Linked DNA regions of Caenorhabditis elegans. The protein of the gene in region 1 purifies or fractionates together with the protein of each later gene. This does not show direct contact. Each region holds a gene or a part of one and is shown on either strand. Other genes may lie near its edges. The genes, in order: hrde-1, emb-4 and npp-13.

Region 1 (3,753 bases):
ATTGGATTGTTTGCAGGCCAATCGATTCCTCAAAGTATTTGAGTATGTCGTGAACATCCGGCTTCTTCTCCCTTGCTATTCCAACAAGAATGTCCACTCTATCATCGAGCCATTTCTTCATCAGATTTTGGATAGCAACGGAATCACTGGAGTTCAATTCACGGATGGACCAATCTCGCGAGTCCTTTTCGACCGTGATTCCATTGTCACGACAGAAATTGGACAGCTTGTCGCAGAAATCTCTGAAAATAGAATATTATAAAGCAGAAGAAAACAACGTTCGACTTACTCGGCCTGTCTCATTTGGATACAGTTGTCAAAGACAACAATACCAATTTTTCTGATCCGTGCTGGTTCGACAAACTTGTCCTGTGTGCGGAACGCTGGACGGCTCATGTCAGGCATGTAAGTCTGGCCCTTGAACTTGATTTGAGCTGGTGGGAGGAGCTTCGCAGTCATTTGGATTGGCTCAGTCGACATCAGTTTGATTCCGAAAGCATCCATGTACTTATTTTGTTCAAGCTTCAAGTTGTCGCGGAGAATATCTTGAACCAACTTCACATGATGCTGTGGCATAGACGCATTTCTTCCTGTCATCGCCGATTGTACTGTCGGGCTCATCTTGTTGACCTTGATCCGCTGGCCTGGAGCAATTCGAAGCAACTCCATTGGGAAGAAAGATTCATGTTTGAATCTTTTTGAGACGACGAGAGGAAGTCTCGGATATTTCAGCTTGATGTTGTACTGCAACAGGAAATATTCCGCCACGGTGACCTCGCGTTCTCCCTTGTCGTCCTTCATCATGAACGAAGTGCTACAAAACAAATTGTTATCACGCTGATGATAACTATCGAATAACTTACTTCTCAGCATTGTTCTCGGCAATCGAGGATACGCGAATAAGGTTACCCTTCAAGTGAGTGCATTCCACGTCCAATCCTTTGAGTGCTTCTTCAATGCATCGCTTCGTGTTTCCTCTTTCGCCAAAAGCGTGTTCCAACTCAGCAGCATCACTCGGAGAGTAGTCCGCTCCATTTGAAGAACCACTGTCTCGACGGGAATCGTACATGTCGCGACGTCCTCTGCTTTCATCTCGGTACCTGTCGTTGCCACCTCGGTTTCCATAGACACCACGAAAGTCTCTCGAGTCGGAACGGCCGCCACGGTATCCACCACGAGAGTCTCGCGAGTCACTTCTTCCGTATCCGCCTCTTCCACCGCCTCCACCTTTCATTTCGGATAACTTGTTGCTTGAAAACTTGATAACTGATGTATCCTTGTAAAATGGAGAAATCTTCGTATCAACCGTCATGAAAGCTTTGCCACCTCCGTTTTGCGATAGACGAGATACTTTCGCAAAACCTGAGCGGATCTCCGAAATAGCATCAGGTTCCGAGTGTGGCGGAGAAAGACGTGGGAATGTGGCATTACCAAATTGTAAGTAATCCTCATTGTTGAGCTTTTGTGAAGTGACGATTTCGATAATACGAGTCAACTCCATACGATTAGCCTCCTCCTGGGCAACTTCTCCTTGGGTGTACACAAATCCGGCAGGTTTGAGAACAACAAGGTAAGAATCGTCCTTTCTGCGAGACAACTTCGACACGAATTTCCATTCTTCCTTCGGGAAGTCATCGATCGTCAACGTGACTTCTTCTTGATCGTCACCAGTGTAGACTCCCTCCGGAAGATAGAGAGTCGCAGCGCAGTCGTAAGCAAGGAAGTGGTGACTCTTTCCACTGAACTTCACCAGAAGCTTGTCATGTACTGTTCTCATGATGTAGTATTGTGCCAAGCGACGGTTATGGGAATTGACACTGGAAAGTACTGATTTTGAGCGGTTATACAAATTAAATACTTACTCTCCCTTGGCCGCCAAAACTCCAAGGTTGGCATTGATCTGTTTTCCGTTGCTGGAACAGACGATGACGTCAACTTGAAAGCGTTGGATCTTGTGGGGCATATCCTTGATGTCCACTGGAAACATGTTCATCTGAACATTCATCGTGTCCATCGTTGCGAAAGAGTCCCGTCCAATTGGTGTTGTTGACTTCGGAGTAGAGAACATTGGTGCTGAAAAAGACAATTTTGAACTCCTAGGCATAATGTTGATTCTAAACGAACCACTTCTCTTTGACGTCGGTTCGTCCTTGTCCTGATTCATTCGGTTGTCTCGTTTGGGAATCCTGTTGGAAGACGAACTTCCCATAATTTTGTCGAGCAAGTCGGCCATGTTTGACTGAAATAAGAAACGATGAAACGAAAAAACGATGCGAATTTCAGATGTAATTGAGATAAAACAGTGAAATTTACTAAGAAAAAGTAAATGAAACAAAAGCTTTACCGTCCTGATTGAGATTTTCAAGTAAAATGAGAAAAAACGCAAGGAGAGAAATGAAATGAAAATAAATAAATTTTAGGCCAGAAAATTCGAGAAAACACATCCGTGGCGGTACAAAAGTTCAAATCGTGGCGCCACATGCGTTGTAACAATAGAGCGCGCTTGCATTGTGATCTCTTCGAAAAATTTCACGTCTAGAAATCGAATTTTATTAGTTTTCAAAAACTTAACGACTATTCTGAACATTTCAAATAAAATAATAGAAAACAATATTTTTAAAAAATTAATTTGTTATGCTTCAATAAATATTAATTATTTAATTCATTTCTACAATCAAAACGATGCTGGTTTTTCAAGTTTTCTGCTTTTTCGTCTCTTTTCTGGCAAATTCAATAAAATGCGACATAATTCATCTCAAACATATGCCTAAAATTCTGAAGGAAAAGGCGTTGCTCGAAAAGCCGATAATTCCAAACAGGCTGCTCCAGCCATTCCTTAATGAATCAATTGCTCATATTTTGATGAATCCGTTAGCTGAAGTGAAGACGAATGCGACGGAAATTAAGTTTCTAAATTATCTAGAAGATAAAAAGAAATATGAACCCGATTGGACAATTCGAGAACTTGAAGATAAAATTGTGAGCTTAATAAGTCATTTTTCAAGTCTAGAAAAGAGTTTCAGAGCCTATCAGAACTGGTCAAGACTTGTCTAGAACACCACTCGTTTCTAGATCTTCCAGATTTATTTCCTCGTTTTCTGTGTGGTTTGTTAGCAGTGTATAGGGAACAGAACACGACAAGTCTTCCATATACTGGATCAATATTTTCTCGATCATCAAATGCAGTAAAATTTCTAAATGATCCAGAGAATTATCCATGTCATTCTATGAATATGACTGATGTGGTGGCACTGGTGCCAGGAAGAATATACAGTGGATGTGTCAAGGATACGGTATCCTTTTCAACAAAATTCTGAAAATCCAGTTATCTGTTTAGGACCCTGAAAAATTCAGTCAATTCGATTCCGTCTTCATCATGTCTCATCCATTCCCAGATGTTCAAAAGTGTCAACAACCTGTGTCAGTGATGCCAAAATGCGAACTGCGATCGATGCTAGTGCAACACAAGATATTGTATCAGCAAAAAGATTGTTGCTGCGATTCCAACATGTGTGCCGTGCTCATCTTCACTCAGACCTCTTCACTGACTCCGCTTGTTTTAAAGACGATTGATTTGACGAGAGAGACGATGGTCCCGTTTCCAGTGACAACGACAGAGATCTCTTTAAATTCAATGTTTCAATAAAGTCAACAATTTCAATAACGCATAAAATGTAAACTCAACAGCAAAAATTAACAAAAAAGAAGATTCAGAATAAAATGGGATTAAAAAAAAAGAAATTAACTACTTCT
Region 2 (3,753 bases), on another chromosome or scaffold:
ATACATAATTTTTTTACTTGGAAATTGTTTTAGCATCTGCAAAAAATATTTATTTATCAGTTTTATTAAGAAAAAACGAAAAAAATCGATGAAAAACGAAAGAAAACAGGCGGAAAACAAAGCAAGATAAATGGCCGCTGAAACTTGTCGGCCCCTCGGCCATGGCCTAGAAACCACTTTTCCTCGTCCCTCGTGAGGAAAAAGTTGCAGTGAATTGGCGAAATTTTCGAGATTTTAGCTCTTAAAACATGTTCTATTTCTATTAGAATTTCCACCACTTTTTATAGTTTTAACCACCTGAAATCCCGAAAATTTCCAGCTAAAAATCCTTGCCGCCACGTGGCATGTATGGTCTCGTCTGGATAAGTTGGCAATTACAGCGATGGGGCGACGGATGAAGATGTGCTGCGGTGATTGTGTAATGTTTTCGCATAAAAATGAGTATTCAATGATGGATATGAAGAATATGGAGTTGGATTTGACGTGGTGCTCACGATTAACCAATCAGCAAATGCAATTGTAAGTACTTAGGGTTGATCAACAAAAAATGCGGGAAAAATTTTCACTCCCAGAAAAATATGACGTCAGCAAACTCTATCTCTAAACACCCCGCAATTCTCGTAGATCAAACCAAATAGTAGTTTTTGTAGCGGAAAATTTCGGAAATACGCTTAAAACCCCCTCAGAATCACCCGAAAACTCGAAATTTTTGTGACAAAATCCTGCGAAAGTGTGCATTTTAGGCTTAAACAGCGCCAAAATGCTGTAGTTTGTAGTCAAAACCATCTCCAATTCGATTTTCTTTTCCGCGAAAATTTCCGCGAAAATTATTAATTTTCTCAGTTTTCTGGCATTTTTTCCATTAAAAACTCTATTGGAATTGCTTCAAAATTCCAAAAATTTGTAGTTTGTAGTCTAAGCAGCGCCCAAAATTGAATTAGCAGCGCCCAAAACTTGTAGTTTGTAGTCTAAGCAGCGCCCAAAATTGAATTAGCAACGCCCAAAAATTTGTAGTTTGTAGTCTAAGCAGCGCCCAAAATTGAATTAGCAGCGCCCAAAACTTGTAGTTTGTAGTCTAAGCAGCGCCCAAAATTGAATTAGCAACGCCCAAAAACTTGTAGTTTGTAGTCTAAGCAGCGCCCAAAATTGAATTAGCAGCGCCCAAAACTTGTAGTTTGTAGTCTAAGCAGCGCCCAAAATTGAATTAGCAGCGCCCAAAATTTGTAGTTTGTAGTCTAAGCAGCGCCCAAAATTGAATTAGCAGCGCCCAAAACTTGTAGTTTGTAGTCTTAGCAGCGCCCAGCGCATTTTCAGCAGAATTTCACCAATTTTCAGCTTCTACGACACGTCAGAAAACCACATAACCTACAAATTTGCCCAAGAAATGATGAATTTGAACCCAGATGACGTGGAGCTGTCCTATATGCTGGCTCATTTGGTGCTCGGACACGCGGGACGCCGATTTCGAGGCGAAATTCAAGAAAATTGCGAGAAAATTATGGAAAAATTGGCGAATAATCTGCATGATTACTATGTTAATGTGAAGGAAACGCCGAGATATTCAGTTCGCCTGGCGCAGATTTTGAGAATTATCCGGAAAATTAAGGTTTTCTTAGCTTTTTCACTCTAAATATTGATAAATTAATAAAATTTAACACATTTTTGCAGGAAGAAGTGCTCCAAATCCGCTCAAAACTCCAATTGGCCAAGGTTTTCGACGTTCACACGATGCGATTTTCTCATTATGAGTATTTTGAGGATTTATAATTGATTTTTATTGAATAAATTAACTTTAAATCGTGATTTTTTGAGGTTTTTGCAGGTTTTTCGATGAAAAATGACAAAAAATAAATTAAAAAAATCGAGAAATGCGCCAAGCACGCAAAGTGCGCCAGCAAAAGTCCAAGGCGCGCTTCCGGATTTTTCGAAATTTATTTTTATTTTCAGTTATTTTTTCTGATTTTCCGTTGTTTTTCAATGAATTTTCGAGGTTTTTTAGTGAATTTTGCATTAAAAAACTCGAAAATTTAATATTTCTTGATATTTTCTCCCAAATTCACCAGTTTCATCGCTAAAATCTTGCGATTTTCGGCAAAAACTGTTTTTCAGGTGTAAATGGTGACTAAACGTCATCAAGAAGCCGTGGTGACTCGGGGAGCCATCGAAAATGACACAATTTCAGCGGTGGGTGCAAAAAAACCTTAGAAAACTTACAAAAATCAAATTTCCTCCTAAAATTTCCCAATTTTTCAGGTCGCCGCCAAGTTCTGGGCTCCATTCACAGCAGAAACTCACGAAAATTTCGACGCAAAGCTCATCGACACAATTTACGACAATGAAATGCTGAAAACCTCGTTTAATTCGCGAAAAATCATGATGCTCGAGTTTTCGCAGTACTTGGAGGCCTATTTATGGCCGAATTACGTTCCAGAAAAAGCCTCAAAGGCCTGGAATATGTCGATTGTTGTGATGATTAATGAGAAATTTCGAGAACGAAATTTGGATTCGTGGAACTGTTTCACGAAGAAATCCGAGCACTTTCCGCACTTTTTTAAGAGCATTTTGCAGCTTTCGTTGCAGGAAGAAGGGTGATTATTCGAGATTTTAGCGGAAAAATGGCGAAAAAGCTCAGAAAACTCGAAATTAGCTCGAAAATTGAATTAGCAGCGCCCAAATCTTGTAGTTTGTAGTCTAAGCGGCGCCCAAAATTGAATTAGCAGCGCCCAAAACTTGTAGTTTGTAGTCTTAGCAGCGCCCAAAACTTGTAGTTTGTAGTCTAAGCAGCGCCCAAAATTGAATTAGCAGGGCCCAAAACTTGTAGTTTGTAGTCTAGCAGCGCCCAAAACTTGTAGTTTGTAGTCTAAGCAGCGCCCGAAACTTGTAGTTTGTAGTCTTAGCAGCGCCCAAAACTTGTAGTTTGTAGTCTAGCAGCGCCCAAAATGTCGTTAGCAGCGCCCAAAACTTGTAGTTTGTAGTCTAGCAGCGCCCAAAATTGAATTAGCAGCGCCCAAAATCTTGTAGTTTGTAGTCTAAGCAGCGCCCAAAATTGAATTAGCAGCGCCCAAAACTTGTAGTTTGTAGTCTTAGCAGCGCCCAAAAAACCAATTTCATCGCTTTTTGCTCATTTTTAGCTGCATTTTGCGAATTTCATAGCAATTTTTCGGCATTTTCGCTCATTTTGCACCTAATTTCGAGCAATTTTCTTGTTTTTTTTCGCGAAAAAAGCAAAAAACCACTGAAAATCACCACTATTTAAACGCGAAAAATGCGATTTTCCACTAAATTTCTCCCCAATTTTCACCAAAAAATCCTTCGAAATTTTGCAGACTCGCCTCCTCAGAACACTGTGCTCTTCTGACATTCCTTGTCAACGCATTTGGCTCCGTTGAGACACCAATTGTGCACAAAGAGACACGAAAACTCGTCTCAATTGAGATTTGGGCCGGTCTTTTGGACTCACAACGCGAAGATTTGTTCAAAAAACAGAAGAAATTGAAGAAAATTTGGGAAAATGTGCGGCAGAAAATGACGGCGGCGGCGGCGGACAACAACGAGTTCGAACGGACTTATTTGTGGAATTTAATCGAGAAATTTAAACGAGTTTTGAACAGTTTGGAGCCAAATGAGGCTCAGGGTACGTGGAAAATGCTAAATTTTCCGGAAAAAACGGAGAAAATCGGTGAAAAACGCCGGAAATTCCGTTTTTTTGAAGAGAAATGCGAAAAATTAAAGAAAATATTAGTTTTTTATCCG
Region 3 (3,753 bases), on another chromosome or scaffold:
GGGGAGATGCACTTGAGCACTACTGGGGGGGGCGGAGTCTGAGCACACAGAATTTGGAGCATTTTGGAAGAGGGGAGGAGAACCATATAGATGGTTATCTGAAGGAAAAGGGGTATATTGAGATTGATGTGGGTGTGGTGGTAATTGGATATTAATTGGCACTTTGGTGAGGATTTTGTGAATTTTCAAACTTTGCGCGTCGAATTTGGTGTATTCACATTACACACTGATTTCTGGCTTCCCTTGAAATGGAAGAGTTTTTGCCGAACTAGGCCGTTTTGGCTCGGCCATATCTGGGGTAGATTTACGGCGCGTTGCGTGTCGCGTCGCGGCTCGATTTTAGTTGTAAAACTAAATGTATTTGTCCGTGTGGAGTACACGACTTTCCCAGTCCGGCAGGCGATTGTCAATGGAGCGCGAAAAATTCAATGAGGAAGGCAATAACCCCGTAGTACTCTAATTAAGTGTCCCGTTTTTACGAAATTTTTATAAAAATTGGTTTTTTTTGTTTTTAGAGAAAATTATGAATATATTTTCTTGTTTTTCTAATCAACAAAAGCGAAATTTAATGTAAAATTACACGGGGTTCTGGCCTTCCTCGTTGAATTTTTCGCGCTCCATTGACAATCGCCCGCCGGACTGGGAAAGTCGTGTACTCCACGCGGACAAATACATTTAGTTTTACAACTAAAACCGAGCCGCGACGCGCCGTAAATCTACTCCAGATATGGCCGAACCAAAATGGCCTAGTTCGGCAAAAACTCTTCCATTTCAAATTATGAGTCCCCATCATGCCTAAGAACCCTCTATTTAGGTTACTGACACATCTGAAACCGGTGCTACAGTACCCTGCGTGGTGGGACCCGAAAATTTGAAATTTGGCAGAAAATGGGCAAGATGGGAGTCATTTTGAAGCTGAGAATGAGGAGAATGTGAATTTTAGAGTAATTTAGAGAAAAAAGTGAAATTGGGGAAAAAAAAACAATTTTTTTGGAAATTTTTTCATTTCAAAAATGTTCTTTAAATTGTCGTTAAATTCGAATTTCTCGATTTTCAGCTGTAAAATGACCCCCATCATGCCTGGGAATGCTTCAATTTCACACATTTCCCCATTGACACAGCTGAAACCGGTGCCACAGTACCCCGCGTGGTGGAAAAAAAACCCGAAACTTTCAAAAGAAATCCCTGATTTGTTTTACACTGAAAAATTGTTGAATTATCACGGGAACACAAAATTCAGAGAATGCGTATTGCGCAACAAATTTGACGCGCAAAATTATTAATATCTCGTAGCGAAAACTACAGTAATTTAAAGAATTTAAAGAATTACTGTAGTTTTCGCTGCGAGATATTTTGCGCGCCAAATATGTTGCGCAATACGGGCTCTCTGAATTCTGTGTTCCAGTAATTTTTACTTATAATTATTTTCCATAGACCAGTAAAACATTTACTGATTAAAAAAGCTCTCGACACAACTGTCACTAAATAATTCATTTTTTTAAAAGAAATTTAATGTTTTTTAGTGTTCAAATCATCCAATTTGTGATTTATTATCTGCTCCATGAGTTCCTGAGACCGATCTACCATCTGGCGGTGTACTTCTAACCGGAAAAGTCGATAATGTGGATGCTACGACACGCTCCCGAATTTATGTCTTTTTTTTCGTTTTTCTTTAAAAATAATACTCAATTTTCTTGAAACATTTTCATCGAAAATGTTTTTTTTTTCAATTTTTTTGTAAGTTTTTCATTTTCCCACTCAATTTGTACTGAATTCGATTCAATTCCAGCGGAAATTAATTTAAATTCAGCTCTTGGCAATGTGCCAAGAAGCTGGTGGCCTAGAACTCGAAATACTGGCCTAGGATTCATGCGGGATTTCGGAGTGTCGTTGCACCGATTTTTTCAAAATTAATTTTCGTTTTGCCGCGAAAAACGAGAATTATTTGGTTTTTAAAACGTTTTTTAACGATATTTTTCGATTATTTTCATATTTTTCAGGGTTTAAACTGGAAAATGTGGTTAATGTAAACTGGTTAATGTTGTAAATCCTTGAAAAAACCTAAACCAGTAATTTTCTCAATTTTTAATTCAATTCAGGATGCTACAGTTTACGGAGATCCTCGGAAGAGTTGATCATCAAGGATTCGCACAATTGCTTGCTAATCCGATTTTCCAAACCAACCGTGTCGGCCAAGAGGTTTGTAAATAATGTTTAAAATGTTAAAAACACCGAAAAATTCCCTTTTTCCAGAACTCGCAGCAATTCACAGTCCGAAATGGCGTCGAGCAGGAGCTTTGCGGTATTTTAGGCGGTTCAGAAGGCGACTGGACACGTCAGACGCACTCAGTTCAGAAGCAGATGATGTTTGGGGAGCGTGGCATCGAACTTCCGAGCCGCCAGCCGAAAAGTCACACCGCCGAGGATACTCTCACTGATGAAGGTGTCGTGGACGTGCCTGAAGCTGTAATGGATGATATTGACGAGGAAGAAGTACTTAATCACGGCCTCCTTGAGTGTTCATAATTATTGGAGCGAGCTCGCGTGGCACCTCACGAACTCCAGAATTTGCGGGAGTTCGTTCCGCGGGAACAGCAGTTTTTTGTTATTTTTGGCTTCTATAGGAAATATTTTTGATTTTTTGTTTTATAATATTCTTGAGAAACATCATCCGAATTGAAAATGTGTAAAATTATGAAATTGGCCGAAAACTGGAAGTTTTACAGAAGAAAGCCACTATAGTTTTTGAAAAAATGTATCAGGATCGCCAGTTTTGCGATTTATGCGTCGTAAAATATGTCATTTTGTAGAGAATTAAAAGTTTCATAAAAATTTTCGTTTGAAATTTTAATTCGTTAATTTCTAATAAAAAAATATTCAAAAAATCAACAATTTTACGTTAAAATCTTATTTCTTCAATTTTTAAGTTTTCAATAAAAACAATTTTAAATTTTCAAACAAAAATTCTTATGAAACTTTTAATTCTCTACAAAATGACATATTTTACGACACATAAATCGCAAAACTGGTCCTGATACATTTTTTTAAAAACTGTAGTGGCTTCCTTCTGTAAAACTTTCAGTTTTCGGCCAAATTTTATAATTTTACACATTTTCAATTCGGATGATGCTTCTCAAGAATATTATAAAACAAAAAATCAAAGATATTTCCTATAGAAGTCAAAAATAAAAAAAACTGCTGTTCCCGCGGAACGTGTTCCCGCGAATTCTGGAGTTCGTGAGGTGCCGCGCGAGCGCGCTCTAATAATTATGAACACTCCAGGTGGCCGTGATTAATTAATAATTTATCATGAAAACAACGTTTTAATCTTTAAATTTTCCAGCTCGACGAGGACATTTCTCGTGTTAAAGTGGAGACGGATCGAGCATTCTTCAACCACATGCTTCTTTCGAGACCTGCCGCAGTTCCCATGAATCCAGCACAGGCTATGGAACGAGATGTTCGTTAAAATCCCTTGCGCGGCACACCTCACGAACTCCAGAATTCGAGGGAATTCGTTTCGCGCGCACTTCTATAGATATTATTTTCTATTTTTTTGATTTATAATGTTGTTGAGAAGCATTTTTCCGAATTGAAAATGTTTAAAATTATGAAATTTGACCAAAAACTGACGGTTTTACAGAAGGCTTTCTTTAAAATGTATCAGAACCGTCAGTTTTTTGATTTCAAAGTCGTAAAATATTTAATTTTGTAGATAAAAGTCTGTTTCACAAAAATCCACGTTTGAAAATT

What was found.
Region 2: the proteins of hrde-1 (region 1) and emb-4 purify together in Caenorhabditis elegans (affinity purification with western blotting; 2 studies listed by BioGRID, with this or other methods). This does not show direct contact.
Region 3: the proteins of hrde-1 (region 1) and npp-13 purify together in Caenorhabditis elegans (affinity purification with mass spectrometry, with the first as the bait; one study listed by BioGRID). This does not show direct contact.

The regions. Positions count from the first base shown.
Region 1 is NC_003281.10:4,173,921-4,177,673, forward strand, and holds the start of hrde-1 (Argonaute protein hrde-1), read right to left. Parts: upstream 2,240-3,753; 5' UTR 2,234-2,239; coding exon 2,125-2,233; intron 2,074-2,124; coding exon 1,863-2,073; intron 1,818-1,862; coding exon 864-1,817; intron 815-863; coding exon 290-814; intron 243-289; coding exon 1-242. Other genes in the region: C16C10.13 (Rab3 GTPase-activating protein catalytic subunit), read left to right, coding at 2,863-2,979, 3,024-3,293, 3,338-3,646; utp-11 (putative U3 small nucleolar RNA-associated protein 11), read right to left, coding at 3,746-3,753. UniProt on the Caenorhabditis elegans protein: Argonaute protein which is involved in the endogenous small interfering RNA (endo-siRNA) pathway and is required for RNA-mediated gene silencing (RNAi) in the germline.
Region 2 is NC_003283.11:18,893,331-18,897,083, reverse strand, and holds the start of emb-4 (Intron-binding protein aquarius), read left to right. Parts: upstream 1-2,109; 5' UTR 2,110-2,115; coding exon 2,116-2,184; intron 2,185-2,253; coding exon 2,254-2,588; intron 2,589-3,326; coding exon 3,327-3,634; intron 3,635-3,753. Other genes in the region: nhr-243 (Nuclear Hormone Receptor family), read left to right, coding at 320-519, 1,336-1,606, 1,669-1,767.
Region 3 is NC_003279.8:2,095,247-2,098,999, forward strand, and holds the start of npp-13 (Nuclear pore protein), read left to right. Parts: upstream 1-2,099; 5' UTR 2,100-2,100; coding exon 2,101-2,199; intron 2,200-2,253; coding exon 2,254-2,493; intron 2,494-3,343; coding exon 3,344-3,460; intron 3,461-3,753.